Linked DNA regions of Alligator mississippiensis. The protein of the gene in region 2 purifies or fractionates together with the protein of the main gene of each other region. This does not show direct contact. Links are inferred from orthologs where the notes say so. Each region holds a gene or a part of one and is shown on either strand. Other genes may lie near its edges.

Evidence for each region.
Region 1: the proteins of protein PML-like (region 2) and ZFYVE9 purify together in Homo sapiens (affinity purification with western blotting; 3 studies listed by BioGRID and IntAct, with this or other methods). This does not show direct contact. The link is inferred for Alligator mississippiensis from reciprocal best matches to the Homo sapiens genes PML and ZFYVE9.
Region 3: the proteins of protein PML-like (region 2) and ZMYM2 purify together in Homo sapiens (affinity purification with western blotting; 3 studies listed by BioGRID, with this or other methods). This does not show direct contact. The link is inferred for Alligator mississippiensis from reciprocal best matches to the Homo sapiens genes PML and ZMYM2.
Region 4: the proteins of protein PML-like (region 2) and NDUFS1 purify together in Homo sapiens (affinity purification with mass spectrometry; 3 studies listed by BioGRID and IntAct, counting the BioPlex papers as one, with this or other methods). This does not show direct contact. The link is inferred for Alligator mississippiensis from reciprocal best matches to the Homo sapiens genes PML and NDUFS1.

Annotation. Positions count from the first base shown.
Region 1 is NC_081828.1:8,895,687-8,903,258, forward strand, and holds the start of ZFYVE9 (zinc finger FYVE domain-containing protein 9), read left to right. Parts: upstream 1-4,559; 5' UTR 4,560-4,708; intron 4,709-7,572. UniProt on the Homo sapiens protein: Early endosomal protein that functions to recruit SMAD2/SMAD3 to intracellular membranes and to the TGF-beta receptor.
Region 2 is NC_081834.1:42,410,678-42,418,643, forward strand, and holds the start of protein PML-like, read left to right. Parts: upstream 1-4,950; 5' UTR 4,951-5,076; coding exon 5,077-5,127; intron 5,128-6,755; coding exon 6,756-7,228; intron 7,229-7,966.
Region 3 is NC_081824.1:434,333,975-434,340,907, reverse strand, and holds the start of ZMYM2 (zinc finger MYM-type protein 2), read left to right. Parts: upstream 1-3,925; 5' UTR 3,926-3,959; coding exon 3,960-4,012; intron 4,013-6,933. UniProt on the Homo sapiens protein: Involved in the negative regulation of transcription.
Region 4 is NC_081827.1:174,213,343-174,220,812, forward strand, and holds the start of NDUFS1 (NADH-ubiquinone oxidoreductase 75 kDa subunit, mitochondrial), read right to left. Parts: upstream 3,009-7,470; 5' UTR 2,881-3,008; intron 2,650-2,880; exon of another isoform or gene 2,488-2,649; intron 2,430-2,487; exon of another isoform or gene 2,330-2,429; intron 1,014-2,329; 5' UTR 1,010-1,013; coding exon 946-1,009; intron 1-945. Other genes in the region: EEF1B2 (elongation factor 1-beta), read left to right, coding at 3,166-3,245, 3,341-3,463, 5,775-5,901, 6,506-6,572.

The DNA.
Region 1 (7,572 bases), on a different chromosome or scaffold from region 2:
TGTGGCCTATCAACATTTACTGGCAATCACTTCTGCTTTAATTAGAAGATTTTTAATGATGCCTGAATCAGGATATTTTGTTCAGGGATCTCTGGAAAGCCTACAAGTCACAGAGACTATTCTTTTTTCACAGCAACTCCAGAAAAAGCCATTGTGAGTCCATCTTCACACCAGTTACAAATTTTAAATAAATTCCTTGAGACCTACAACTATCCACCTAAGGGAGAAGAAAAAGGGGACACTATCAAGCCGTTTTAATAGTTTTATCAATCTTTTAGGTCCTGTCTACACTTCTGCAAATCTGCCTTTTGGATGATCAGCACATGAGTAACATGCACGTAGTGGCAGACTAAACATTTTTGCCTAAGTGTTTTTTGCTCAGCATCATACAGGAACACTATGGCAGAGGGTGGGGTAAAATCCAGTTCTTCAGAGTGGTACTCACTGGGTTCCTCAAGGCAGGATTATCTTTTATTTGTCTGCAGCTGCTTGTCTTATTCCTTACATACCTTCCTTTCTGCCTTTTGCAGTTAATAGTGCAGGGTTCCTACAGAAAATGTCCTCATTCATTCCTTGGACATCCAACATGCTGTGTATTTAATGAGGTAGGAGGTCTGCGGAAAAATAAGTGATCCGGCAATTATAGGCTGTATCATAATACACACGTGCACACAGACAAAGGGCCATTCTGTATTGCTTAACTTCAGAGTATAATTGCACTTCGCATTAACTTTGCAATTTCTTGTAACATAATCTTTTATATGTTAATGCATATATTTCAAAATAAGCACACTTGGAAAAATAAACCTTGCCATATAGAATCATATTGATCCCCAGTGACAGTCATAAGCAAGTTATGGACCTTTAGAACCACAGCACAGACATTTACTGCTTAAGCTAATGGAGTGACTGATAGTGGTACTCTGAGACATACCCATTGCTATAGGATTTTACAGTTAGTTATCTGATGACAGCAAAGGAATATTGAGATGGAGGAATTGGGTCAATTCCAGATTCTAGAGGGGCTGTAGACACTGCTGCCTCCTCCACTGCTTCTGCCCTCAGGTTGTAGTCTTACTCCTTTTTGCTTTTATCTTCTCCTGCATCCAGGTCTCTATCTCTCCGGGACCCTAGCTTCTCCCCTCTCTCTCCTCCAAATTCCACTTCCACTGTTCATAGATTATAAAGCCAAAAAGAATGGTGTAATCTTCTAGTCTGACCTGGACAACACGGGCTGTACGACATCTTTAAATCAATTCCTTTTGCACTAGAGCACATCTTTTAGAAAAACATAATACCTTGGTTTTAAAATGTCCAAATGGAAATCCAGCAAAACCCTTGGCAAATTATTCCAATGGGTAACTGCTTTCAGTATTAAAAATTGTGCTGTCTTTTGAATCTGAATATAATTTCAGCTTCCAGGCATTGGATTGTTCCGGTTAGACTGAAAAGTCTTCTATTATTAATTTTTTTTTCTTCCTGAATGTAGGTACATAGAGATGGTGAGCAAGTCATCACTTCACCTTTTATGAACAAAATGGCCTAAGCTCCTTGACCTGTCTTCTAAGGCATATTTTTCCAATCAGCACTATGATCTTTATTAATCAAATTTATACCTCATAAAAAAAATCTGTTATCCATAAATGCATCTTGGCATTAATTTAAATCCTTTACTGAACAAATCCCATCTCAGCTCTTATCATCATTTTGCCCAGGATTTGTCAGGCTAACATGCTATTTACCCTAGCCAAATGCTGGCACACTACTAGCCTTTGTGCAGTGCTGTTGGACTTCCACAATATCCTAAGGGTTTGTAAAAATCAACATGAATTATCTGGAGAGCTCCTCAAACTTTTGAACACAAGTTATCTGGAATGACTGATTTAACAATGTTTCACCATAGCACCTGCTGCTTAACCTATACTTCAGTTACTGCTGGACTGGAAAGTATTTCATCATTCTCTGATATTATATGAATATATCATTTGGCTTTTTCCCAGCTATGAAACAGAAATATTTATTGAACACTTCTGCCTTTTTAGCTTCAGTATGGACAATTCCACCATTTTCATCTAGTAATGGGCCAGTAACATTATCAGGGTTCCTTTTCTTCCTAATACCCTTAAAATGTTTTTCTCATTGTCTTTATTTCTGTTTCATAGACGGTAAGGGGCCGGAAGGGACCTCGGAAGATCATCGGGTCCAGCCCACTGCACCAGACAGGAAGGACAACCTGTTGGCCATACATTTTTTTTCCTTGTATTTCTTTTATTCCATTCTAAATATTCTACAGTTCCTAGCTCCTGATTTATATGCATGGCTATCAGCATCCTTTCTTTTGACCATTCATTTGGAATATATAGTTCTATTGGTCCTTCCCCCTCCCCCTCAGCTGTCCTCCCACCAGATCATCACTTCCCTTGACTCTTCTAGCCACTATTTCCCCCCTCTCCATTTCACCAATTATCTAGCTTTTGCAATCTCTTCTTTCTATGCCTTCTCACCACCATTCTGGCCACTGTCCCCCTCTCCTTTTCCTTATTATCTGGGCATCACTGAAATGTGAAGTTCCAGTGCCTGGCACTACAGATGCCCAGAGCAGCAATTGCAGAAAAGTCCTGTTGGCTTTTGAAGATGGCATGCTCAGTTGCTTTGCGGAGATGGCCCATGTGAAGTCTAGGCGCATGTAGGTGCCGTGAGGGGGATGCTCACTATAGGTGGAATCCCCCTTGAGTACTTTTCACGGGAACAGTAAAAGGCACATCCCTGAAAGCAGAGTGAGCAGTTGAATTATAAATTAAATAGTGGGGAGGGGGTGCTTTAAATGTATTAGTTGTAATGTGTTCACTCTTTCCCCTTTACAAACAGCAAGATATTGGCCTAGATAGAGCACCTATCTAAAAGACAAGTGAGCTCTGTCCTTTCCCCCTCACTATTTGAGGGGATCTGAAACATTTCTGAAGGGTGTACGTCTAAAGTCCACCTGTTTTATCTGTCATCTCAATAAGTTATTTGTGAAAGTCCTGGGAAAAGTTTGTAGGACACCTAGCCGGCTCGTTTTGATTCCGACCGGGAGAGGGCAGCGGTGTGCACGGATGGATATTTATATGTACAAGCACTGAAGTCATGGAGTGAAGAAAATAACACATTGTAAAATTCAGAGCAAAGATAAGCCAACTGCAGACAAATATATAAAAGAGAGAGAGAGAAAAGCACATTCCTCCACAGGCATGTTACTGACTGCCTACAGCCAGGAACAGAGAGGTATTTTGTTTGTGGCGTGTGTATTTCCTTGGCTTTCTCCTCATAAATAAATGATTGTTGGGACTCTACAGTAAGTGAATAATAATGGTTTTGTGTGCCTGACAGTTTGCTACTCCACTATTTGTGAGAATGTTTGTATAGGAAATCTAAGTGTCGGCAGTGCTGGATGTACGTCGCTCTGCACCGCTGTGTCTGCATGATAGGCACATGGCAGTGCGCGTGTGTGTGTGTGTCTGACCGCATTTCTATGTACAGGCAGTCACGTATCCCTCATGGATGGTAGTATGACTCTTCATATGTGCATGTGAGATGCGTGTGCCCTTGTGCTTGTGATTTGTAGGTGTAAATAGGATGGTCTCCTACAACGCCACTTTGTGTGCGTGAAGTCACGGTTGTCTCCGAGTTGCGTGTCCCTTTTCTCTCTATGCGTGGCTGCGCGCTCATGTGTGGGTGACTGCGTAACTCTGACTACGGTGTCACATTTGTGCATGTCGCCTCCGCGTCTGTCGTTGCTCCTGTCTGTGTTTCCTGCGTCCGGCCGGGGGAGATCTTTGTGCAGTGTTTGGTTGTGTCTTTCTGTGTAAGGTGTGTGTGTGTGTGTGGCTACGGTTGTCTCTCTGGTGCCTACTGTGGTGTGTGTGTGCGGGGGAAGAGGTGTGTTTAGCTGTGTGTCTCCCCCGTGTGTGTGTGTGTGTGGGTGGGAGGGGTATGTGTGTGTGTGGTTGTCTCCCTGAGGAATCATCCCGGGTGTGTGTGTGCAGGGTTGCAGGGGGTCTCCCTCTGCGTCTGTTGGTCTGAGGGGCCTCCCTGTGAGGCGGCATGTGGAGGGTTGTCTGTGTGTGTGTGTGTGTGTGTGTGTGTGTGTGTGTGTGTGTGTGTGGGGGGGAGAGGAGGGTCTCCCCGTCTGTGTGCGGGGCTGTGGGGGGGTGTGTGGTGGGGGGATGTGGTTGTCTCCCTGAGGAATCTCCCTCGGTGTGTGTGTGTGTGTGGGTGTCTGCAAATGTGGTGGTGGTGGGTTGTGGGGTCTCTGAGGGCTGTCCCTGGATGTGTGCTGCGCCGTGCGGTTGTGTGTGTGTGTGGGGGGGGGGGATGTCCCGCGGGGGCGGGGGCCGTGTGCGCGTGCGGGCGGGGGCGTGGGGGGTGTCCCCGGACCGGCGGAGCGGAGCGGAGCAGCTCGGGGCGGGTCGGCGCGCGAGGCCCGGTGCCCCGTGGGGCGGGGGCGGGGGCGGGGCGGTGCCGCAGTGGCGCGCGGTGCCGCTGGGGCCGGGCAGGGGGCGCTGCTGCCGTGAGGCCGGGCCGGGCCGGGCCGCGCCGCGCCGCGCGGGGAGCGAGGAGCGGAGCGGAGCGGAGCGAGGCGGAGGCGGCGGCCTCTGTATGGCGGCGGCGCGGAGCGGGCCCGGGGCTCCCAGCCATGCGCGCCCGGCGGCGCCTGCCGCCTCGCCAGGTGAGTGCCGCCCCGGCCCGCAGGCCGCTCCTCAGGCCCCGGTTGCTGCTCGGCCGCTCGGGGAGGCTGCCGGGGCCGGGGCCGGGGCCGGGGCCGGGCGGGGGGCAGGTGCGAGGCGAGGCGGCGCGTCCCCCGGGCCGCCCTTCAGCCTCCCCGCTTGCCGCCTCAGCCTGGCGGTCCGGCCGCCGCGGTCCCGAGGGCGCATCCTGCCCCCAGCCCGGCGCCGACTGGAGGTTTGCAAAGTGTCTTTGTTGGTTGGACATGGTTGTTGTTTTGTATTTATTTATGATTATTTCCGTGGTTTGATGAGAGGAATTGACCCTCCCCTCCGCTCCCCTCCACGTGCCTGCACCTCTGGGCAGTGTTTAGTCCTCATGAATCTGCCTCGGAGGGTTTGGACCAGGCTGCGTCCACTCGCAGACCGGCGGGGTCCGACCCGGGTCCGTCCGCAGGCTTCGTCTGGCACCGCCGGGGCCGGATCCGGCCGTGCCCCGGTCCACCTGGACGGGCAAGGGCAGGGCGGCCCCCTCGGGACACATTAGGCGGGGGAACAGTGCAATCTGGTGCAATCTGGACGTGCGAGGGGAAACACCCCCGTTATAGGCTAACTCGGGGGCAGGCAATTATTTTGGGTAGAGGGCCACTTACTGAGTTTGGCAAGCCATCGAGGGCCTCATGACAGGCAGCCGGGGGCAGATAAATATTAATTTTCTAAATTTTTTAGGGCTGGCTAGAATGGCCTGGCGGGCTGCATCCGACCCGCACGGGGCTAACTCGGGGAGAGCCGGACCCTGAGCTTTAGTGAGCTGGAGCTGGGGTCCATCGGATGCTGTGAGAGCCAGAGGTGTTTTGTCCAGGTATTGGATCCAAAACAGGAAGGGAGAGGAGAGGCGGAGGGCGTAGGAGGAGCTATCCTGAGGGCTGTGAGGGATTTATGGACCAGAAAGTGCTTCAAGAAGACCTAAACCCTGATTTATTTGTATTAGTTATTTATTTTTAATGATATGGAATGATCATAGGGTTTTAGGCATTCCTGATGGGTACTTCGGTGACGACAACCCAGTGTAACCATGAAAACCTGGAACTGAATATAAATATTTACAGTTGTGGTTCAAGTGTGGCTGGAAACTCGTGAGCATAGCCATCTTTATGACGTGTTGGGCCAAGAGTTGGGGGAAACATAGGAACACGTTTGGATATTTTGGGGTGAAACAAGAATGGCGCCTGCAACTTGATGTTCTCCAGTCCAGAGCTGGACCTGGATTCAAGCTCCTGCTCAGTCCTCTCCCCCATGCAGACCTGCTCAGTCACCTGCTGTGAGTAGAGCGTGCCTGGCTCTAGCTTTAGACAAGTCGTCTTCAGTACATTACAAAAAACAGTTGCTAATATTTGGCCTTTATTGGTGTGCTTTAGATTATAGCCGGCCATTAGGTCAGGAGAGAAATGCTTCTGAAAATCCAGGTTCCAGGGATCAAGATCAGGTTAAGAATTAAATTAAATAAGTTTGCTTTTAATTTGGCACAAGTGGTAGTCTGTGCCAGAGGGAATAGGGGTGTGTTGGGGGGTGGGGGAACAAGGGCAGAGGCTGAAGAACCTCTACTTTGGAAATGTTGTTTGGCCTGAACGGGGTAGGAGGAGAGAGATGCACTACTGTAATGTGGCCTGAGAATAGGATACCAGTTTCTGTTGCTGCATGTCCCTGAATTGTATCAGTATTAGCAGAGGGTAAACAGTTATGTTTTTACATTATATATTTTTGAATGATCCATAAGTTTTTATATAAGTGCAAATCTTACGTAAAATATTGAAACAGTGAGAGATTCCTTGACTAAATAACAGAGCCAAATGCTGTACATATTTATGAGTTCACTTCATTATTTTCAAATGTTAAGAGAATCAAAGTAATGGCATGATTGGCACAATCAAGGTAAATGAATGTTACTAACTCCAAAGTGTTACATTTCCAACAAGTGGAATTATGCTATTATAGTAAGTTGATTTATTAAAATGGATATTTTTAAAATTATAATTTTCAGTGTTTATTTTTGTTTCCTGTTGCTTTTACCCATGCTTCAGAAAATGAAAATTGACTAATCACTTCTGCTCTTATTTTTAGTCAGCGTAATATTCTGGTTTTAAATGCTCCCTACCACTGTTAATTTGGTTTGGTTTGTAAACACTGAGGGAATGCATCAAGCTTTCTATGTTGGATTTTAATTTAAAAAGGTTTTGTAACATTAAGAGGCTATGGGATTTGAAATCAGGGGAGCTGGGTTCTACTTCTGGCTTTATCAAAGATTTCCTGTGTGACCTTGGGCAAGTCATTTAATGATTTTGTGCTCCAGATTTTTTAGTCTGTAGAAAATGAATAATAAACCCCCTCACGAGTGTTGTGACATTCAGTTCATTTTGGTTTGTGGTCTGAAATCCTCTGGGGAGAAGAACTGTAGAAAATAATTTATTATAACTACTGATCCTGTGTGTTGGGCCAAATCTGGTTTAGCAATGTATTTTTAAAAGCAGCACCTTTTCATGTGTTGTTTCACTTCATTGAAACCAAACACAAGCAACAACATTAGATTCTGAGATTTTTATTTAAATATGATTTTTAGGATCCTTCATCTCTAGATTTTGAAGGTGCCATTACACCTTAATGAGTGTAATTATTTTTTTTATTGGTATTCAGTGTACAGAAGCAGATGCACAAAGACATTAAATCTTTACAGTAATTTATAGTTAAGATTTATGTATTTGTCCCACTGTAGATTTAGAATTATTTTCTCTCCCAATGAAAAAATTTAATATTCTTTTTAGAGTATAGCCCTGGAGTATTACCAAAAAAAGGAAAAAAAGAAAAGAAAACT
Region 2 (7,966 bases):
GCTGGAAAGTAGGGGGCAGGGAAGGGGGGGCTGGACGAGGGGGGACCCCTGCCAGGTCTCATCCCCTGCCTGCTTCCCCAGCCCCCCCCCCCCCAATGGCTGCCCTGCCTACCCCAGGTCCTGGTGCCCGCTGCCCCCCACTGCCCCACACTACATGGGTGGGCTCTGCTATGAGTCCCCTGACCTCCACCTGCTCTCCGAGCCCCCCCATGGCTGCCCCACCTGACCTAGCTCCAGCCCTTTAAGGAAAAAAACACCCCAGACTCACCAGCTCCTGCAGTGGTCTCGGGGCTTCTGGGGACTCATGCCGAGCCCCCCATGCAGCATGGGGCAGTGGTGGGCAGCGGGGATCGCCCCCTGCCCAGCAGCACCCAGAGTTGGGGCTTTTTTTTTTTTCCAAAGCCAAGAGCTGGGCTGGACGGGGCAGCCGTTGCCAGGCTGGGAGAGTGGGCCTGTGTGATTTGGTCAAATCGATTTGGGACGATGATTCGAATTACTGTCTCCTGAAATGGCTGAATCCAAAGCGAATATTAGCTGGTTTGCACCTAACTATTAGGTGCACAAATATGACTCACAAGATAAACCCAGGGATTTCAAATAGGAATCCAGAGTGTTAAAAGCATTCTGGTCTGTTGTGGTTTTTCCAAATCCTTTACAAGAGAAGAACTGCTCTAGTATTTTTCTGTAATCAAAAGCAGAGTGAATGTGAAGAGGTGACATTTTCTGGGTGTCACCTTAAATGTATCAAGGGATGCCTTGAGTCTAAAAAGTTTGAGAACCACTAGTTTAATAGTACTATTATGCTGTACCTAACCTAAGGGATCTGTCTCCCGCCTATAGGCCCTTTTCACTATTGCTGAATGGTCATGAGATGTTTTTAAAAGAAAAAGGAACATAACAGCATAATCAAGAAAAATCAAAATTATTTCATAGATTTCATAGACATTAAGGCTGGAAGGGACCTCGGAAGATCATTAAGTCCAGCCCCCTTCCCCAGGGGCAGGAAGTCAGCTGGGGTCATAGGATCCCAGCAAGATAAACTTCCAATTTTCTCTTGAAGGCGTTCAAAGTAGGTGCTTGAACCTCTGATGGCAGGCTGTTCCAGACCTTGGGGGCTCAGACAGTAAAGAAGTTTTTCCTTATGTCCAGTCTGAAACAGTCTTGCAGGAGTTTATAACCATTAGATCTTGTTATCCCTTGGGGCGCTCTGGTGAACAAACATCCCCCCAGATCCTGGTGGACACTGCTTATAAACTTATAGGTGGCCACCAGATTGCCCCTGAGCCTGTGCTTTTCCAGACTGAAGAGTCCCATAGCTCTCAGCCTGTCATCGTAAGGTCTGTGTGGCAGGGCACTGTGTGTGCCTGTCACTTCAAGGGCCTGGAGCTGGCAGCCACCAGGTGCCTGGTGAGGGCAGCCATTTTTGGAATCAGGGGCTGCCCATACAAGCAGGCAGTTCTGCTGTGAGAGGCCAGGCAACAACATCGCCTGGCCAGAGGGCTGCAGAGCTACAACTGGAGGTAAGGGAGGAGCTGTAGGGGATGGCTAGGAGTCTCCTGGTCCTGGGTATGATTTAAAACTGCACCCTGCTGGGAGTGGGTGGCCTGGTGGGGTTCCCAGTGGAGCGGGAGCCCCCAGGAAATGCCAGGCCAGTTACCACCCTGGTGAAAGGTGGGTTGGGGCACCTTAACCCCTAGCCCCCACAACCAGGTGAGTTACCCCTTGTTTTGGAGGGCCCAGAGGGTGGACCCTTGGAGAGAGGAAAGGGCCATTGACTCAGGACCTGTCTGAGTTTCCCCTGACTGTCCCATGCTGGGGCCAGGACCGGAAGGGTCAAAGGGCCAGGGGCCCACCCTGAGGGATGCCCAAGAGCTGAGGGCCTAGAGTCCCGACTGGCCTGGAGGTGGGCCAGGGCTAGATGAGCCGAAGGTCTCGGTGGGGGGGACCACACCCGAAGGGGAACCAGCTCAGGGAGCTGTGCTGCCCGGTATGATGGCAGAAGAGTCCGCCTGAAGGGGGGAATCCAGGTGGGTTCAGTAGTAGGGTTCTGGGGCCCAGTGGGGGGGCTGGTGATTAGAGGAACATCTAGATGCCATCTGCGAGGCTTGGGCTGCGGTGCAGGGGAGGAAAGGAGCTGCAGATAGTGCCCCCTGGCATCGGGGCAGTAAATGGGCAGCCTCCCGCTCAACTAACATCTACTAATTAATCAATTACCATCAAGGCGTGGGGGGTGAGAATGCGGGCGGTTGGCCCAAGAACAGGTGGGTGGGCCACAGAGATCGGCCCTGAGTAGGCCCCCTGTTACAGTCTGTTTTCCTGACCTCTGATCATGCATGTGGCTCTTCTCTGCACTCTCAAACTTCTCCACATCCTTTTTGAATTGTGGAACCCAAAACTGGACGCAGTACTCCAGCTGCGGCCTCACCAAGGCCCAGTTCAACGGGAGGATGACATCCTGGGATTTGCTTGAGAAGCATCTATGGATGCAAGCCAGTGTTTTGCTTGCTTTACTAGCCGCAGCATCACATTGAAGGCTCATGTTCATCTTGTGGTCAGTCATGACCCCCAAGTCCCTTTCATCCATAGTGCTAGCCAGCGCAGCACTGCTGAGCCTATAAGCATGCTGCAGGTTTTTCTTCCCAAGGTGGAGGACCTTGCATTTTTTGGTGTTAAACACCATCAGGTTCACATCTGCCCATTTCCTGAGCCTGTTGAGGTCAACCTGGATCACCCTCCTGTCCTCAGGTGTGGATGCTTTACCCCAGAGTTTGGTATCATCTGAGAACTTGGCCAGTCCACTTCTGACTCCAATGTCCACATCATTAATGAAGATGTTGAACAATGTGGGTCCAAGAACACAGTCTTGAGGGACCCCACTGGTCACAGGGCACCATGACTATTGACTTCTGTCAACCACCACCCTCTGGGTCCGACCACGGAGCCAGTTCTTCAGCCAGAGGATCATGGTGGACCCGAGACCGCAGTTGGCCAGTTTTGCCAAGAGATGATCGTGGGATACCAGATTGAAGGCTTTTTTAAAGTCAAGATATACAACATCAATCTCTTCTCCCTTGTCCAGGTGATAGGTCACCTGGTCATAAAAGGAAATGAGATTGGTCAAGCATGACCTACCTGCAACAAACCCATGCTGGCTATCCCTCAGGATGTTGCTGTCGGCCCGTCCATTAAGAATGGCCTCTTTGATAATCTTTTCTAAGACCTTCTCTGGGATAGAGGTCAGGCTGATGTAGTTTGCTGGATTCACTTTCCTCCCTTTCTTGAAGATAGGCACCACATTGGCCTTCCAATCGTCAGGTACTTCACCAGAGCACCAGGAGTTATTGAAGATCTGTGCCAGGGGCTGAGCTATGATGCTAGCCAGCTCCTTGAGTACCCTGAGGTGCAGATTGTCAGGGCCGGCTAACTTGAAGGTGTCCAGCCTCTCAAGGTGTTCCTTCACGAGATCAGCATTGATGGATTATCTATAAACCTCAACAGAAAAGAGGTCCTTGAGGTAGGCCTTGTCAATGTTAGACAGACAACAACATAAGAAACCTGAAGGTACTTGATGTAGGACAAGATTGGGAGGTTATATCTCATGATAGACGAGAATGGAGATACATCATCAAGGAGGCCAAAGTGCTATAAGTGCTGGTTGCCCTTCAAAGCAAGTAAGTAGGTGACAGAATGACTTATCCAACTGGATTGATAGACAGTCTGGGTCTGTCCTCTGCCTATACATGATGCTTCAAAGGAAGATAAAGCCTATCCTGATTATGCCTCATTGACTGTGCAATGGGTAGACATGTTCCTTAAAAGCATGGTGACCTGGCAGCAGAGCTCCCTCTTCCGATACATCCGCGCACAGCTCTATTGCCTCCCTGTCTCTTGGGCCCTCAGGTGAGGTGTAAAGTACCAGGTATATCATTTATGCGTGACTTGTACCCTGCTGTCCCTTATACCTGTGAGCACACAGTGGGCAGGGGCTGGCATTTTCCCCTCAATGGGTGTACCAGACTGGTGCTTAAGGCAACAATTTAACAGCGGCATTAGACAGATGGGCAAACTGTATGGGTCTTTGTCAAGCAGAGTCCTGGGGAGGGGCAGAGGTAACATTTGCAGTACTTCAGACTGTTTCATGGGGAACCCTGCATCACTGCTGTGGCAAATGGGGAATGGCTTGCCTAATTCTCTAGAGTCACTTAGCTGATGGGCTTGAACACCTGGCCCCTTCCAAGTCTTCACAGCCAAGCTCCTGGCAGCTACAAGACCATGGCAGGGTATGTTTGCCTTTTAAGTCACCCAGAATGTGGTGAGTTTGGGGCCAGAGAAGAGCTAGCAGGAGGGGATCCAGGATCCACAGAAATAAACAGGACCATGGAAACACTTTCCTGGGAGAGCAGATTGGAGAGGAGGGAGCTGGCCCCTAGCATCCAGCCCTGCCCTACTGCATCCTTCCTGTTGCACGAAGGGGCATTAGTTTATGCCGCCTACACAAGACCCCTCACCTCATGCCCTGTCAGAGACACGTCTGAAATGTTTTGCTGTTCCACCTTAGTAAAAACATCTCTTGGGGGTTATTGCAGTTGGGGAAATTGGGAACTGGCCAAGGATGTAGTAGAGTCTGCCCACACTTGGAGCTGTCTCTGTCACCAGCCCCCAAGGGGAGCTTGTTCTGCTTCTCTACCAGGAAGACTTTCTGCCAACAGGATCTGGAGCAGAATCAGAGCAACACATTGAGCCTCTGAATGAGCTGTTCAAGATAAACAGAGATCCAGGGCTGGTGCAGGCTTCCCTTGTGCCTTGAGAGGCCAGGAGGCAGAAGGAAAAATGTATGACAAGCTTTATGCCCAGGAGGGCTGGAAGATTTCAGACTATCCTCCCCTCCCCTGCCAGATGCATCACACATCAAAGCTGGGGTTGATCACCAGAGGGCAGGGCAGGAGCGCAGATTCTTCTCTCTGTCTGCCTGATACCCGGAAGCAAAGCTACTTTCATTTTTGAGGAAAGAAAACTGAGCTGCAACCAAGCTCAGAAAGCATCTGGGTGCCCCAGAGGAAACTGCGAGTGCAGATCATGGATGCCACGTCTCAGGAGCCTCCGGCTGACCAGGATTCCTCAGCCCCTGTAAGTTTGTCGCAGTGACCGGACCTTCTGCTAGAGGCTCTTGCTTGGGGTTAAGGATCAAGCTGGTAGATTAAATGTACAACAATGACGGAGGGGAAATAAGTGGTATATGAGGCTGAACAGCTCCTAGGACCTGGCTGCCTCATCTCCTTCTGTGGGTGGTGCTGTGGCTAGAGCATGTGCCATTACACTGGGGGTAGGGGATGTGGCAGGGCTGCCCCCTGGGCAGCAGAGATGGCTGTAGGAAGTGTGTGGGGGAAGCCAGTATGGAAGGGAGCAGGGAAGGCAGAGACAACCAGGTGGCAGGGAGGTAGTGACTGGGCAACAGCCCTGTGAACTCTCCAGCATGCAGATAGCAGCGCAGACTAGGAAATTGCCTCAATGATGCCCCAGGGCCCTTTTTGTGTCCCTTTTCAAATCTCTGTAGTTGAGAGGAGGGCTGCTTTGGGAGCTCGCGGGGCAGGGGGAGGAGGCAGGAGAACTTGGCCCCACTTCTGGTGACTGCCACAGACAGCCGATATGGCTCTGGGCAAGCCACTCGGTATATCTGGGCCTCTGTTCCCCTGGCAAACAATGGGACAAATGGTTCCCTACCTGATAGGGGCTCTGTAAAGATGAATCAATCAGTGTCCATGAGACATTCTTGGATGCGGTAGTAATGGGGGGATCTGTGGAAGTTCTTTAGGGAGGTGGCCTGAGGCTGGGTGCGATAGGGCTTTCAGCTCGGACTCACCCCTCAGAGCCCCTTGTGAGGAAAGAGGCAGTATGGTGCAGAGACAAAGAAAGGGGCCTGTGCACTATGGATGGGATGAAGACTGGGGACTGGCAGCTTGTTTGGGAAAGCTTGGGGGAGAAACAATGTGGTGAGCCTGTGGCGAGCGGCGAGGGAGAGGGAAAGTGTAGATGGCAGGGGTTCTGGGCATGTCTACACATGCATTTAGGCATGCCGAAATTTAACATTCATTAAGGTGATTTAGTCTCACTTTTACGCATGCATGTGTTACAGCGCATTAACTCCGTGTGTGCTTACTCATAGTTCCTCACTATTCATAGTAAAGTTAGTTCCAAGTCAGTCTGTGTGCAGTGTTAGTGTGCCTTAACACATCTACATGTGCATTAATGCACTTTAGCTATTCATGCCTAAATTTAATACCGGCTTTTGCACATATCAAACTTAGGCATGAATAGCCTAAAAATGCCATTTTTAAGGTGCATTGAGGGCCTGCACATGTAGATGTGCACTTTTAATCTGCCTTAAATTGGGCTAAAATGCTTTAAATCAGCATGTGTAGACATGCCCTGTGTCCTACACCCTCATGCTTGTGCCCAGCCAGTAGTCTGCTCCATCATGCTCTTTACATGCCTCTACCTCCCAAGCAGTGGTGGGAAGGACTAGCTACAGACTCTCACAACCAGGGTTTCCCTCAGCCACTGGACTCCCCAGTCAAGCTAGCTTTGGCTTGCTACATTGGGCCTTTCCAGATGTTTCTATTGCTTGGTATCCATCAAATGACCTTCTAGCAGCACTAGCAACACCTCTTTCTCCTTGCCCAATGGTCATCTCCCATTGGGATAATATCATAGTATGATTAATGCCAGGTATCTCTGTCCCTTTCTTCTCCCTAAAGGTGGTGGAGGAAGAGTTCCAGTTTCTGCTCTGTGATGGATGCCGGAATCAATCCAGAGAGCCCAAGCTCCTTTCCTGCCTTCACACCTTATGCATTGACTGTCTGGAAGAGAACAAGCCCATGGGCCAGTGCCCCATCTGCCAGGCTCCTATCTTGCAACCTAGTGAGATTCCAGACCAGGACAACGTACTGTATGCCAGGCTGCAGTCCCAGATGAAAACCTATCAAAAAATAGTCATGGGCATAGACTTAGGGTGTGGCAACTGCAAAACAGAGGGGGAGTTCTGGTGCTCAGACTGTGAGATGTTTATGTGTCTCACGTGCTTTAATTTCCATCAGAGGGTCCTGAAGAAGGAGAGCCATGAGGCCAGGAATGTGAAGGATCTTCAGGCCGGATCTCTCGCGGAGTTTCTTGAGGGTGCCCAGAAGCGCTATAACTTGTTCTGCGAAGTGCACGAGGCTCAGATTCTAAGGTAACATTCCCAACCTGGGATACTTTTTCTCCAGTCATATATGGCAGGAATAGTTGCAACATAGAATCATAGAAACAATGGACCAAAAGGGACCTGGAAGATCATCAAATCAGGTCCCCTGCCGTAGGCAGGAGGTTGAGCTCAAACTAGCTCAATGAGGTGCTTATCCAGCCTCCTCTTGAACACCTCCAAGGATGGCAACTGTACCACCTCTGCCAGGAGTGTGTTCCAGGTTCTAGTTACCCTGACAGAGAAGAAGTTCTTTCTTATGTCCAGTCTAAATCCTCCCTCTGTTAGTTTGTGTCCATTGGTCCTCATCCTCCCAAGGGTCTCATTCTAAAGAGTTCCTCCCCCAGATCTTGGTGCTCCCCCTTGATATACTTGTAGGTAGCTATCAAGTCACCTCTGAGCCTCCTTTTACTCAGACTGAACAAGCCTAGTTCCCAGAGTCTCTCCTCATATGGCCTATCCTCCAGGCCCCTGATCGTGAGGGTGGCCCTTCTCTGCACCCTCTCAAGATTATCCGCATCCTTCCTGAAGTGCGGTGCCCAAAACAGGGCACAGTACTCCAGCCTCGGTCTAACCAATGATGAGTAGAGAGGGAGAAGCACCCCTCTGGATCTGCTGGCAATGCACTGGCTGATGCACACTAAAGTTCTAGCGTTTGCCCTGCTGGCGACTTCATCACACTGTTGGCTCATATTCATCTTCCAGTAAATTGTGACCCCCAGGTCCCAT
Region 3 (6,933 bases), on a different chromosome or scaffold from region 2:
GGTGAGGAGAGGCCAGGCCTGAGGGGCCTCCTGTGCCTTCTCAGAGGAAGGCAGTGCTCCTCTGTATGGCCCAGGCCTGGTGTGCTCCTCAGATGGTAGACTTGGAATGAGGCCAGTAGCCAAAGCTAGGATCCAGTGCGCAGGGAGGAGGTACACTGCAGGGCATACTGCTTAGCGCCACCTCCGAGGGCTGTTGCTCCATGGCCTTGGTGGGTTGTGTGGCCCATGGGCTGGGAATAGAAGCAGAGGCCTGGGCTCTTGCCCAAAAGTGCGGGCCACTGGTGCAGGATGCTGCTTAGCAGGGTGCAAGCACTGGAAAGCAGGGGACTGATATTTGCTGCCTCCCTTGGACAGGGGAGGAGTGGGTGATGGGGCAGAGAGCGAGTGGCCCCAGGGCCTGAGGGCAGCAGGGTCTCAAAGAAGCAGGCCTGGAGCCTGTGGCCCCTGGGGGGAGGAAGCAGCCACCCAAGGGGGAGTACATATCTTCCATTTTGGCAGAAGCTGGGAGCAGAGCAGAGGGTTCTGCCCACCAACCACCCTGCAACCCTGCCAGCTACCCTGTGCTGCCCCAGCAGAGCAGGGGCCACCTCAAGTGGGTGCCTTCCTGCACCCTGCGTTGGCTTGAAGGAGCCCACGGTCCCCACAGCAGCGTCTGACAAAATGGAGGACGTCACCACTGCCACCAGCAGCAGCGCGTCCAGGAGCCCTGCCGACATGACGCCCTTAGCGGCCCCATCGCGGCTAGGGCAGCAGGGAGCCATGCCCGGGGCGGCGCACGGAGCCCTGCCCTGGGGCGCAGGGAGCTGCGCGCTCCGCCCTGCGGGAGCGGGGCTGGGCTCCAGGTCTCCCGCGGCCCTCCTGGAAATGGCCCCAGGTTTGCAGCCCGGCGGGGCGGGGCCGGGCCGGGCCGGGCCGGGCCGGGCCGACGGGCTGCAGTACCCGGGCCGGGCCGGGCCGGGCCTGCCCCAGCGCGGGCACTTGCCCCGAGGGAGCGGGCACCCGGCTGGGCTGCGCGAAGGGCTCCCGGCCCTGGCTCCGGGCAGCGCCGCGTCGCTGCCGCAGCAGCTGTGCCGGGAGCGGAGCGGCGCCCCCGCCTGGCCCCGGGCAGCAAGAGCCGCGAGCGCCGAGACTCGGGTTTCTCGAGCCAGCTGAATGGCTCGGAGTGGGAAGAGCTGTGGGCGGGGCCCGGGGGAAGACGGGCGGCGGCGCGGCCCAACCAGCTGCCGGCGTCGCTGACGGGCGGCCCACTCGCCCAATCGACGCGCTGAGCGCCGCAGCCCGCCCCGCGTGGCGGCCAATGGGGGCGGCCGTGGCCGAGCTCGCTTGGCCCGGGTCGTCCTCCTCCCCCAGCGCCAGCAGCTGCGCTTAGCCCGGGACTGGAGCGAGTTAGAGTTGAGGCGCCGGAGGAGTCGCGCCGAGCGCGTGCGGCCGGGGGGGCTGCGCTGGCGGCGGCCGGGTAAGGCGGGGCCGCGCTCGGGGGGACCTGGCGGCGCCGAGCTGCCCCGGGTGGGGACGGGCGCCGCCGCCTGCCCTCGCCTCGCGGCTCCCGGGCGGAGCGGACCGAGAGCCCGCTGCGTCGTCGCTGCTGGGGCGGGCGCGGGCGGCCGAGGGGGCGCGGGCGGGTGGAGCGCTCCCCGCGGCCCCGCTGTGACTGTGCCCGCGCCCCGGAGCCCCCGGCCGGCGCTGCGCCCCGCGGACCCGTCGCTGCCCTCCCGTATTGTTCGCTGGTGCCGCTAATGGCGGCGGGGAGCGGCAGTGCCGCTGGCCGACTGCAGGGGGAGGCCGCGGCCGGGGGCAGCTGCTGCGGAGGCTGCGCGCCCCGGGGCGGAGGACGGAGCGAGTCCGCGCTGGCGCCGCGGGGAGGGGCCGGGGCCGGGGCCGGGGCGGCAGGTGACGGGAGCCGCCCGCGGGGCGGTGGGGGGCGCCGGCTGCCCCCGCGGCTCCAGCCCGGCGTGGCGCAGCCCCATTGTGCGGCTGATCTCGCACGGCCCGGGGAGGGGCCTCAGGCGGGGGTCGGGGCTCCCGGCGCAGCCGCCGCTGCCCCTGGGCGAAGCCGCGTCCGCGGCCGGGGCGGCTCCTTCTCCCGCTGCCGCGGGCGTCGCTGTTGCGCTCCGCGGCCCGGGCGGGGGCAGGTCTCGGCTGCCCTCTGCGGCCGGGACTGGGAGCGCGCCCTGGGCGCCCGGACCGGGCCCGCGGCTTCGTTGCCCCTGTGGCGGCCCCGGCGGGCGGGGGAGCCGAGATCCGCAGCAGTCCCCTGGCTGGCGGCGCGGCGCGGAGCGGGTCCCGGCGGGCGGGCGCGCGCGCGGCCTTTGTGTGCGGCTGCCCGCGGCTCTGCTCGAGCGACTGCGCTGCTGCCGCCGGGCCCGGCCCGGCCTCTCCCAGGGCCGGCTGCCTTCTGGAGCCGGGGCCGCGGGCTGTCCCCGCACCTGGCGCGGGAGAGCCCGGCCGCAGACAGGCAGCGCGGCCCCTGCGCGCTCCGCGGAAGGGTGATTCCCGCACAAAGCCGCGGGGGGAAGTGAGAGGAAGGCCGCGTCTGTAAACACAATGTCGTCGGCGGGCGGTCGGCTGCGGCCGCGGGGCCGGCTTTCCCCTCTAGAGGCCGCTGCTCCGGAAGGCCCCGAAATACCGGGTTAGCAGCAACAGGGCAGGACAGACGTGCAGCTCAGTTTCTGGGTTGTGGTGGGAGTGCGAATCCTGAGAGAGCCTGGATGCTTGCAGCTTATGTTTGATTCCTCTTACTCGCCCCTGAAGCAGGGAGGCTGTTTTGAATGAGCAGGATGATCATTTCTTGGACTTCCATAGATGCATTGGTGACTCCCTCAGTGCCCCACTGCCCCATTCGTCTGAATTTGGTGGGATAACTGATCACTTGGAAGCGCCACACAGCCAGGGCCCCAAGACCCTTATAGTGTTTTCTTCATATGAACATGTAGAGAAAAAGCAAACCTGAAACTCACTTAAAGCACTACAATGGAGTGTCAGAAGACATTTCTTTCTGGAAAGTGCTTTCTTGTTTCCACCCCCTCTTTACCCTCCAACAGTAGAAATTTGTTAAACCTCCTGTAAATTAGCCTTAGCTCCCTTTGACTTCAGATACAGGCAGTCCTCGACTTGCAACGTTTGGAGTTGCAATGTTTTGCACTTACAACATTTATAAATTGACACCCTGTTTCAACTTTCACCCTGTTTCAGAGAACTAACTGTCCACAATCATTCTAAGATCTTTCTTGAGTAACAACAATTAGTATGGAGCCCATCATAGTGTATATAGATCACATGAAGTCCCTGGTCTTATCAGCTGTAATATCTTGGGTTACTTTTTCCAAACTTTCTTCATTTTGTACTTAACACTATTGACCTCTCTCTGCCATTACTACCTACAGAATTCTGTGGGGGTCTTTAATGCTTATGCAGAACAGATCTTTTGTTTCAGGTTTTCTTCCAGAAGTCCTGTCTACCTCAAATAGTAGAAAAATTATACCTAAAATAACTTTGAAGAGTTGTGGCAAAGCTTTTTGAATGTTGAAAAAAAACTTCTTGGACTTCCCTCAGTGCCCCACTGCCCCATTTGTCTGGATTTGGGGCCCTGACTGTGTGGAGCTTCCAAGTGATCAGTTATCCCACCAAGATACGTTACAGCCACTCATACAGTTCTTAGTCGTGATGAAGGAGCAGTTTCCACGTAATGCATTTTCCTGTAGAACTCAAATTCTGTTTTTGTTTATACCTGGAGGTACAGGACAAGGCTCCCCTTCCTGCTTTCATCATGGTTTCCCATGTAATGGTTTTGTATAGGCTTTTTCTACAGTGCTTATTGGTGTAACATCAACAGTTGGAAGTAACATAACGGCAAGTTAGAAGGTTCTGCTTGCCCAAAGGAGGTGCTTTGGAGGAGTGAATAAATGTGAGATTTTTTTCCCTCTTATTAGGATGATGAAAAGGCTGATCAAGTCTGTTACATGCCAGGGCTAATAAATTCTGGCAGTCCTGCATGGCTGCATAATAGAAAACAGTAAGTTTATGCAACATTTCCTCTGCATGCAAATATAGAGAAAAAACAAACTTCTCAAACTATCCTGGTGGTTTTCAACCTTTTTTGTACTAGGGGTCATTTGTAAACATCAATGGCCAGTTCCAACACAGTGCCCCTCACTCCTGACCCACTGCCTCCAGGCCTCAGCCCCCCAATATGTGGGGAGGGGGCGGGCAGGCAAGCAGTCCCTTGAAGGCTGGAGCTCTGCCAGCCTGCAAGGGAAATGCCATGGTTTCCCAAATTTTTCTCCTATAAAAGAGAATCCATTTTTAAAGTTTGTTGATCTGTTTTTAAAGTTTGTTCACAGCCCTTTCATATATTCTTGTGACCCAATTCTGGGTTGTGTCCCACAGGTTGAGAAATGCTGGTTTAAAGGACAAGGATGGAGTGCAAATATCTTTCTGCAAATTGTTTCCCCCCATGGTAGTAATCTGTTAAACCTCCTGTAAATTAGCCATAACATAATTCTCTCTGACTTCAGATATTTGATCCTTTTCTGCTATTACTTTTTCTTTGTAATAAAGTGTGTAGCAAGTATACAAGCATAATAATGAAAAAGGAAAAGTAGAGGTCTCTTATTTATATCTTCTGCAAACTGAGATTATGCAGGCATGTATGAAAGTTTGTAGAACCCAAGTTCTATTTGACTTCTTTTCTAATTATTGGTAGATTTTGCTGATTTTTGCCTTATCCAGAACTACCATTTTTAATGTTATATTCTATGTTATCTCAAGAGCCTCATGTACCCTAGATTTCAATACTCTGCACAGTACATCTTATGATGTGTGATAATCAGTTGACACATTAAATGACAGAGGTAGAAGGGAAAATTTTGCTAAGAACCGTGCAGCAAAAAAGGAAACATAAATATAAGAACTGCCATACTGGGCCAGTCCCATCTAGCCCAACATCCACAGTGGCCAAAAGGGAGAGTATTCATGCAGACTCATCTGTCCCATTTCCCTCTTCCTATTTACAGAAGATTCCTAGGAAAACATAGGAATGGTTGTAGTGATATCAAGTATAATACTCGCTGATAGGCCTACCATGCATTAATTTTTCCAGTTCTCTTGAACCTGGTTAGATTATCAGTCTTTACAGCATTTATGGCAATAAGTTAATTATACAGTTCAGGAAAATAACGAAGGGTGCACCAATAAAGGTTTTCTTGTCTGATACTGAAGCTGGTTATTAACCAACCATATCGGCCGATAGGAATCTGATGATAACTGATATTTATCACCATTTCTAAGTGTGGGGACTCTGATGCAGGAGACACAACAGAGCCGTTCTAATTAAAGTGCCACCCCCCCAAAGCACATGTAAAAGTGCCAATGGCAGTTGTAGCCCCAGGCTCCCCACCATGGGAAAGACCCTGCTACACACTGGTGGGAGAGGGAGTGGCTGCCCTAGCCCCTGCCAGCCTTTTCCCCCAGCAAGACTCCCAGGCACTGTGGGCTGAGTCGGGCTGAGCCAGGCTGGGCAGCTCAGCTCCACTCACCTCTCCCTGCCCCAGTCATGTTTGCAGCATTTGGTACTTTTTACAGTGCCTGCCCTGGTCCCAGTCCACACCATGCCAGCACCCTGGACATAACAGCAGCTGGTCCACTTCAGCCTGGCCTGGCCTGCCAGTGAGGGGAGAGGGTGTATCTGGGGTCACGCTGGCTCATGGGGGGGAACCCAGGCATTTGGGGGCCCTAGCTCTGCAGGCGAGAAGGAACTTGGGCATTAAGGGGACCCAGCCAGAAGGGATAAATATTGGAGAACACTGACAGCTACAACAGCCAATAAAGCAGATAGCCAATAATGTAAATTTCCCATTTGTTGGTGACGATCCAGTAGGCAACCAATATATTGGTGCGCCTCTAAAAATAACTTATTTTTGTTTAGTTTAAACCTGCTTCCTAATTTCATTGCGTGTCTCCAAGTTGTGGGTTTGTTGAAGATGGTAAATACTTGCTTTCTCCAGGCCTTTTATTTTGTAGATCTCTGTCGTATTCCCCTATCACCCATCTCTTTCTCCAGACTAAATCGGGTAGGAAGTTTCAATATCTCCTGGTGTGGCAGCCTCTCTATACCCTTTATCATTCTTTTTGCCTTTCTGCATACCTTTGGGTTCTACTGTATCCTTTTGGAGGTAGGGTTAGGGGGGGACCTGAACTCCTCCACTGTGGATATACCATTTATATGATGGCATTATGAGATTTTTCCATTCTGTTTTCAGTACAGTTCTGAATAATTGCTAACATTCTTTTTACCTTTTTAACTATTGTTGATTATTTTTAGAGAATTATCCACAATCACTGTAAGATCTTTCTTGAGTATCAGCAACTGATATATAGAGTGTTTGCTTCATTTTGTATGTACTACTATTGACCTCCCTCTGCCATTGCTACTTACAGTGTTCTGTGGGGTCTTTAATGGTTATTCAAAATAACTTTTGTTTTAGGTTTTCTTTCAGATGTCCTGTCTACCCCAAATGGTAGTAAACTCTACCTAAAGTAACTTTGAAGGTTAGTAGCTTTGCGTTGATTCATACCTGCCGGACCAACATTGAAGCTCTTTCAAGCTGGAGGAAGCAAGTGGGGTTTTCAGCTCAGTATTAAGCATAGGGAGTCTTATTGAGTGGTAACACTCTCCTTCCCCCCTGCTTTACAGCTCATAAAAGCAGCTGTTTACAGTTTGTTTTAGTATAAAACCTAAATTCTACTGAGTGGTTTAGTCTAGCCTTTCTGTAGCTTGTTATTTGCAATGGAGACTACGTTGCCCTTGAATTCTTTTCTTTAATTTTGGTAGCTTATCTTCCTTACTTCCTCTTATTCCTTTCCATAGCTCAGAAACAGTGATGGCACAGAATAAAGTTTGCCATGCACTCATTTTCTATGGGGCTAGCATTTGAC
Region 4 (7,470 bases), on a different chromosome or scaffold from region 2:
GATCAGGATCACTGCCCACTGGCACCAACTAGATCTAGTACTAACCAGGCACAACCACCTAAGAAATCTGCATGCAAGGTCTTAACACATCACTGACTATAGCAGCAGACTAAGGTATGGTCAATGTTAAGTCAGAATCAATGCTAAAAAGATCCACTGTAGCAAGTCATCCTCAGATTGATAATCAGCCAAACTAAAGATGCAAACTATTCAATGAAGAAGTTGTGAAAACAAGTTTACCTAACAACTCATCCACCAAGGCTTGTGGAAACTTAAAAACTAACATGTACAATGCTGCTATAACAGCATTTGGGGGGGGGGGGGGGGGGAGGAAGGGAGGAAATGCTAGGTAAAATGCAGACTAGTTTTAAGAGCACTCTGAAACGCTTCTATCACTGGTTGGAAACAAAAGGACAGCACTAACCATCTGCAAGTCATCTCCCAAACCATAACCCTGGAAACTTTGAGAAAGGCTCCAGGAGAAATGCAAAAAGAGGCTAAACTGTGTGCCCCAGATTTTTGGCTGAAGCACTGATCATATTCAGAAAGCAGTTGACGCAGGCGATAGCCACAAAACGTACGAAAGCATCAAGCAAGCAATTGGTCCAGTCAAGAAGAAAACAGATCCACTGTAAGACTTGGACGGAAATGTCATCACTGATAAACAAAAACAAATGGAGTGTTGGATTGAACACTATGAAATTCTGTCCTCCAGGAAGACTGAAATCAAAGCATGAAGAGCTTAAAGGATTATCAGAAACAAAAATAATTCATAGTTAAACAACTGGAATGATCTGAAACAGCCTCAGCTAGAAGATCATTCTCTAAAACTCAGTGATGCATATGAAGCCCCTCTACACATAATATAACAGTCGAAACATTCAGTGCTTTCTTTAAACACAGTGCATCAATGTACGTAAATGTATAAAATAAAGGCCAACTCACCACATCCTCTGCTGGACTGAGTGACACCAGCTAGGGCCCTGCGGACAGCAGGTAGTCGCAGCATGGTGCTGGGAAATACAAGAGAGCAATTAGTGCCACAAATTTCTGCAGTTAGAAAACACTAACATTTCTGTAGATCCCCACTGTACATCCAACAGCTCTCTACTAAGCTTTGACTACATTTCTAGGGTAAAGGCAAAAGAGCAGCTCCCCACTGCAACTCATAGTGCTTTGCAAGGAAGCACTTTGAGTTGCAAGGATCCTCCGGACCCAAGAGAAATTTACTGTTGTGTCCTGGACCCAGGAGTTGGGACTCCAGTTGTGTGCTGCAGACCTGCAGCCCAGCTTCTGTAGCAATGCCACTCCCCCCTCCCCGCCTGGAGGCTGTTTTCAGAAGGGGGGGGGGAAGAGGGAGGAAGAAAGAGAAGGGAGCAGAGGGAACTCAGGTTTCCCAGCTCCAATCCACCCACCCCATCCCAAAATGCCTGCTGAAAAAAACCCAGACCAGACTCCCTCTGCTCCCTCTCCCCCCTCCCATTCTGAAAACAGGGACAGGCTGGAAGCTTTACAGACACAAGTTATACAACATACTCTGATTTGGAGCATGTTCATTTGAACCCTCATGCAACAGGGTTCATCTGACCCTCACCCCTCATGCAGTGAGGGTTCAGACTGTCGTGGGTCCTTTTAAAGTGATCTGCAGCTGTGCACTTCCATTTGGTTATGGCTGTAGAGCGCTTTCTGGGGCCAAATCAGGCAAAAACTGTCACTTCTGTCTGTGCCCCAAAGAGCACAGAGACCACCTGAAGACTGAGGGGAGGGTACAGACCTTCTTTTCTAGATCTGAAGCTGGCCCAACTTCTGCCCTAACAATACAGCCAGTTAAATGAGACAGCGGTTCTCAGCCTTTTTTGCACCAGGACCCATTTGTTAACCTCAGTGGCCAGTCCTGATGCCCCTCACTCCTGGCCTGCTGCCCCCCGCCCCCAGTGTTTATGCCAAGCAGCCCCTCACAGGCTGCAGCTCTGCCAGCCGGCAGGGGAAAAGCCAGTTTCCCACGTCCTTCTCCTTTAAAGGAAAATCCATTTTTAAAATTGACCGATCCATTTTTAAAGCTTGTTCACAACCATTTTATATATTCTTGCGCCCCTGCTTTGGGTCGCGACCCACGCGTTGAGAAACGGTGCGAGAGGAGGTCACAGAAGGGCCCCCTCACCGCTACAACATCCAAACCCTCCTACAGCAGCACTGCCCTGTCACGCCGCCCCCCCCCCAAAACAAACCACTGGGGGGCTGACTTCTCATTGTGTTCGTTTTCCATTACTACACTTATTGAGTAAAAATATCTATATCTATATATAGATACAGATATAGATATACACACTGTTCACAGTAAATTCAGACTTAAGGAAAAGCTGTTGCCATCACTGGCCGCCGCAAGGACGCTCCCCTCCGGCTGTCAAGGGCACGGAGCGGCCGGGGCGCAGGAGGAGGGCCCGGCCCGGCTCGGCCCCCCACCGCGGCCGCGGCCCCGCCCGGTACCTCGTGCCGCTGAGGGGCGACGGAGTAGCGGCCGCGCGGCGCGGCGCAGCACTTACGACCACTGCGGCAACTCCAGCTCGCAGGGCCTGGATGGCGGCGGCTCGGCTGTTTCCGTCCCTCCCCGGACACCGCCTCGGCAATTTCCGCCCCCCCAGCGCCGGCCTCGGCAGTTTCCGTTACTTCCCGGGACGCGCAGCCTCAGCCATTCCCGTCCCCTTCCGGCGGCGGCTCGGCAGTTTCCGTCCCTCCCCAGAAGAGGCGGGTTCGGCAGTGTCCGACACCCCCCCCCCCGGGAACACGCGGCTTCGGAAGCTTCCGCCCCCTCCCACCCTCCGCCAGCCCTCGGCAATTTCCGGAACCCGCGCTCGGCATTTTCCGTCACTTCCTTGCAACCTGTTTTTGAAAATCCCTGTCCCCTCAGTGGAGCCGGCCGAGCACGCTCCAGAGTTGAAACCTTTCCTTCTGCTCCTGTTTTCTTATGTTCGTGTCCGGTAATGCCCTCTCCCTGCTCTGAGCGGAGCGGAAGACGAAGGCACTATTTCTCCGCGGAAGGACACTATAGTGACGAAACTAAATGGAAAAGGAACCTTCCGCCGGCGCCTATATAAGGGGGGCGTGAGGAGACGGCGCCCTCTTTGCGCAGTGGGTGCTGTCGGAGTTTGGCCTGCTGTTGCCATCATGGGTTTCGGGGACCTCAAGACCGCTGCAGGCCTCCATATGCTCAATGACTTCCTGGCGGATAGGAGCTACATTGAGGGGTGAGCGCTGCTGAGGGGGGGAGTGTAACCGGCCCGCGGGGTCGGGCCTCCGCGCCTGCGCCGTGCGGGGCCGCTCTGACCGCGCGTCCCCTTAGGTTCGGGCCGTCCCAGGCCGACGTCGCCGTGTTCGAGGCCGTGTCTGCGCCGCCGCCCGCCGACCTGTGCCACGCGCTGCGCTGGTACAACCACATCCAGTCCTACGAGAAGCAAAAGGCCAGGTAGGATCTGCCTCCACTCACTGCTTCTCTGGGAGCAGCCCCCCCCCCCCGCGCAAAAGGCGTGGGTTGTTTTATTTTGGGGGGGGGGGTTGCCTTAAATGTTGAGCCTGTGTGTTGTCTTTGAAAGGTGCCAGCTTCGCTGCTGCTGTGGAGCAGGTAGGGTGCGGGCACTGGGGTGGCCTGGCCAAGATGGCTTGCTTCTGCCCTGGACAGCGTCACCAAGTCTTAAATAGGAAATTATCTTATTGGAAGCTCAACGTTGTTGTGCTTACTGAAAAACTATATTGTATGCTGAAAAAGTAGGCAAATCAATACGCAAATACATCTTATTTGCTGTAAATTGCCAGTGAGTGAATGAGAACTGGGTCACCAAAGTTGAAAGACTTCTTTATTTTGAGGCAAGCAGTCAAAAGAAGGTACTGACAGCAAGCTCAAAAGTCCTCAAGAGTGATTTGGGCTTTGCATATGCTGCATTAGTTAGCAGCCTCAAAAATTATTGCACATTTTGAACACTTCTGCTAGTATTATTGATCTCACATTGTACAAGGGTATGAAATTATCATAGATATGATAATTATACACCTGGCAACGCTGGCCCTGGGATTCTGCACTTCTAGGTCTACCCTTATTGCACATGCGGCGTTCAGGGGCTCGGCTGAAACCCCAGCACTGGAAGACGGGCTTTGTGGCCGCTCATGCCTTGAGCAGCATGACCTTCTATATACACTGCAAATAATGGTTTAAAGGTTATACCAAGGTGGGCTGGATTTTAACCAGGTTAATCCAATGCAACTGAGTCCTTTTGTGTTTCCATTTGAAAATCATGCACGTACAATAGCTGCTCGCTAGTGGCTTTTATAGCTTGGTCTCAAAGCCACCTGAGCCAGGAGCACAATAATTACAATGGCTCTTAGGAAAACCTCATATTGGACTATTCTCCCTGAAGGGTTAAATCAGACAAGTGACCAGTAAGGACACTGTTCTTGAGGGAAATGAAAGCAAATGTGTTCTCTTCTTTTTTTAGTGAATTTAGTGGTCATGAAAAGTGCCGTATTGACAGCCATGGAGACTGAAGTCCTCCCTAGAAAAGGTACAGCATAGGCAGTGTTAGTACGTGCCATTTCCACATTGCCTCACCAAGACCTGTTGTAGAGATGGATGGCTTGGTCTCTTATCCATTCTGTCCTAGGCTTTTCTTGATGTTACAGCCTGTAATACTATTTAATAATTTGTTAGTATGTGGGTTGGGGTGAAATTGTAAAATCCAGTTCACAAGATCTGTAAAGAACGTAATGTACTGTAATTTCTTCTAGCCGCTCAGAAGGAGAGTGCTTTGTCATTGGCTTTTCTAATGCCTAACAGTCTGATTAAAAAAAATAAATAAATCCCTAAAGCAAACCCCACAATACTGTAAATGAAAGCATAAGACAAAACTATGCTCTTATGGTGTTAGTGGCTACATCTAGAAAGACTAAAGCAGGAATTAAATCATAGTTCAAAAGGTACTAGAATGAACAGGCAATGTAAAGTTGCATTCTAGGTTTTCTAGCAGTAGATGGAGCTATTTGAACTGTGTTTGGGTTTCAGGAATATTTAGTTCCTGTTAGGTTCTCCTTGGTTCCTCAGGCATTTTAGTTTATCCTTATTTACATTATAGGCTTATGGTTGTGTGGGGTAGTATTGGGAAACTACCTCATAGTTAGAACCAACCTGTCAGTAAAACCCAAGGATTTGACATTGTGATAAAACTTTTGATATTACCATTCCCACTGAGGCTTAATTTTCAATAATGAAGCATTTCCTTGAAAATATTTCAGTGGGGAGTGGCAGTGCTTAATGTGCTTCAATTTAATGTAAAACATTTTAATTCTTAAATTTGATTTGATGGTGGTTACATTTTTTTCTGTAATATATCCCATCACTTCTGCACTTGGAACAGCACAGTAAAATTTGCAGAACTCCTCTTGGTACAGGGTTGTGTTCTGAAGCTTTTGGTTGCTGCTCTTATGTGGTGTACTCTAGGAAATCCAATTACCAGGAGCAAGAGTTGCTGTATGCATGAGAGGTTTAGCTTTCTATGCACATTAAATTCACCATATTCGTCTAAGCAGCATGCTTTACTGTGGGTACACTTGTGGATTGGAATCTGGTGCTTCACTTCTGAAATAGTGACATAATTAAGGTTTGAGTTTCATTGTTAGGACAAGAAATATTTACTGGAGGTTTACAACAGAATCAAAACCTCAGTAAAACTGAAATATATACATTTTTTAAATCAGTTATCTTTAACAGACTCTGCTCTCTTACTTAGTTTGCCAGGAGTGAAGAAGGCTTTGGGGAAATACGGTCCTGTTGATGTTGAGGATACCACAGCTGGTGCAGCTGCAGATACCAAAGATGATGATGACATCGATCTCTTTGGATCTGATGACGAGGAGGTGTACTAGCATTTATTTTATTTATTTGCTATGAGTTTTTGTTTTCCCAGCTACCAAAATTCAGTTATAGATGCATTTCTTTTTTTAGTTTATCTTTGCTCTGTTGGTCTGTTTAACATCTTATAAAGGTCATAATTTGTTTGAATCGGAGAGGCTCTCTAAAAATAGTCTTCTGGTGGAACTGACTGCTTGCTGAATGGGTGTGGGGACAGAACATGTTAATGAGGAACGTACTACATGCATGTTTAAATCTAGTGGAAGCACCTACTCCTTTACAGAATTTGCATGGTTCAAGTGAAGTCTGTAAAGTATCTGAAGGAGACCCGGGTTTGTGTGTAGTTTGGTTTTTGGGGGTTTTTTTATGCGGCTTCCGCTTAAGCACAGGCTAAGCTAATGTGAAATCTAAATAGGATAAAGTTCTAGTGAGTTTGTAGGGGTGCCTGTTTTAACTGACTGGTCACATGATGAATAAAACCAAATCACCATCTTTCGGCTGATCTTGCTGATGATTTGTTTTTTTCTGACTAAGCCAGTCTACTTTGACAGTATTGTGAAGAATGCCTTTTTATCCGTGCTTTGTTCTAAATCTAGCTTCCTTTTGCAGGAAAGCGAAGAAGCAAAGAGACTGAGGGACGAGCGTCTTGCTCAGTATGAATCTAAGAAGTCAAAAAGTATGTTTGCAAGTGACTCTTTGTATCTTGTTCTTGTATACTTGATTTGATCATCAGTATGCACTGAATTAAGGGAGCTTAAGAAATCATATTTGAACTGTCATCTATAGTTATGGTTACCATATTTACAGTTTCAAAAAGAGGACGGGGGGGCAGTGGAATATGATTGTGGGGGGGGGATGGTGCCCCTCGTTTCCATCCCACAGCCTCTTGCCACCCACCCCTACTGGTGTCCACAGACACAGATGTATGCTGTCTCTGTCTCACCTGCCTGCAGATGTGGGGCCTGTGGCTAGTGCATTGTGCTCTGCACTTGAGTCACCTTCCCCTCCTGCCCTCGGCCCTAGGCAGTGAAGCTGGAAGTGCCAGGAAAGCATAGGCAAAGCAAAAACCTGGACATTTACTTGCATTTCAAAAACCTGCCTGGACAGAGGACCAAAAAATAATTGTATGGTAACCCTAGCTATAGAAGGTCAGACTTGGTCTGCTCAAGGAAATTTTAAGAGGCTCAGTTGCCCACTTTGTCCATTTTGAGGTTAAAGCAAAGATGGCGGGTGGGTTGTTCCTACCTTAAAAATAGACATACAAAGTTTGGGCCTAAAACACTGGTCTATTTAAGCCTCTTACTAGGCAATCTACTTCTTAAATTCGGCATTCCACAGTTACTGGTCTGGAACTGTTCAGAACCATAGCAGTTGCAGTATTCCATCTGTGGAAAATAAACTGTTACATCGTATTGTGTTCCCTTTCTCAGTTTCTCTGAAAAGGATCTCTGAATGTAACCTACAAAATGAAAACTTATATCTCTTTTAAGTTTGGCTTGATGGCAAAAGGTATCTTTAGTACAGGAATTTGTTGTATGTTTTTAATATTTCCTTTTGCAACTTTTTATAAATTT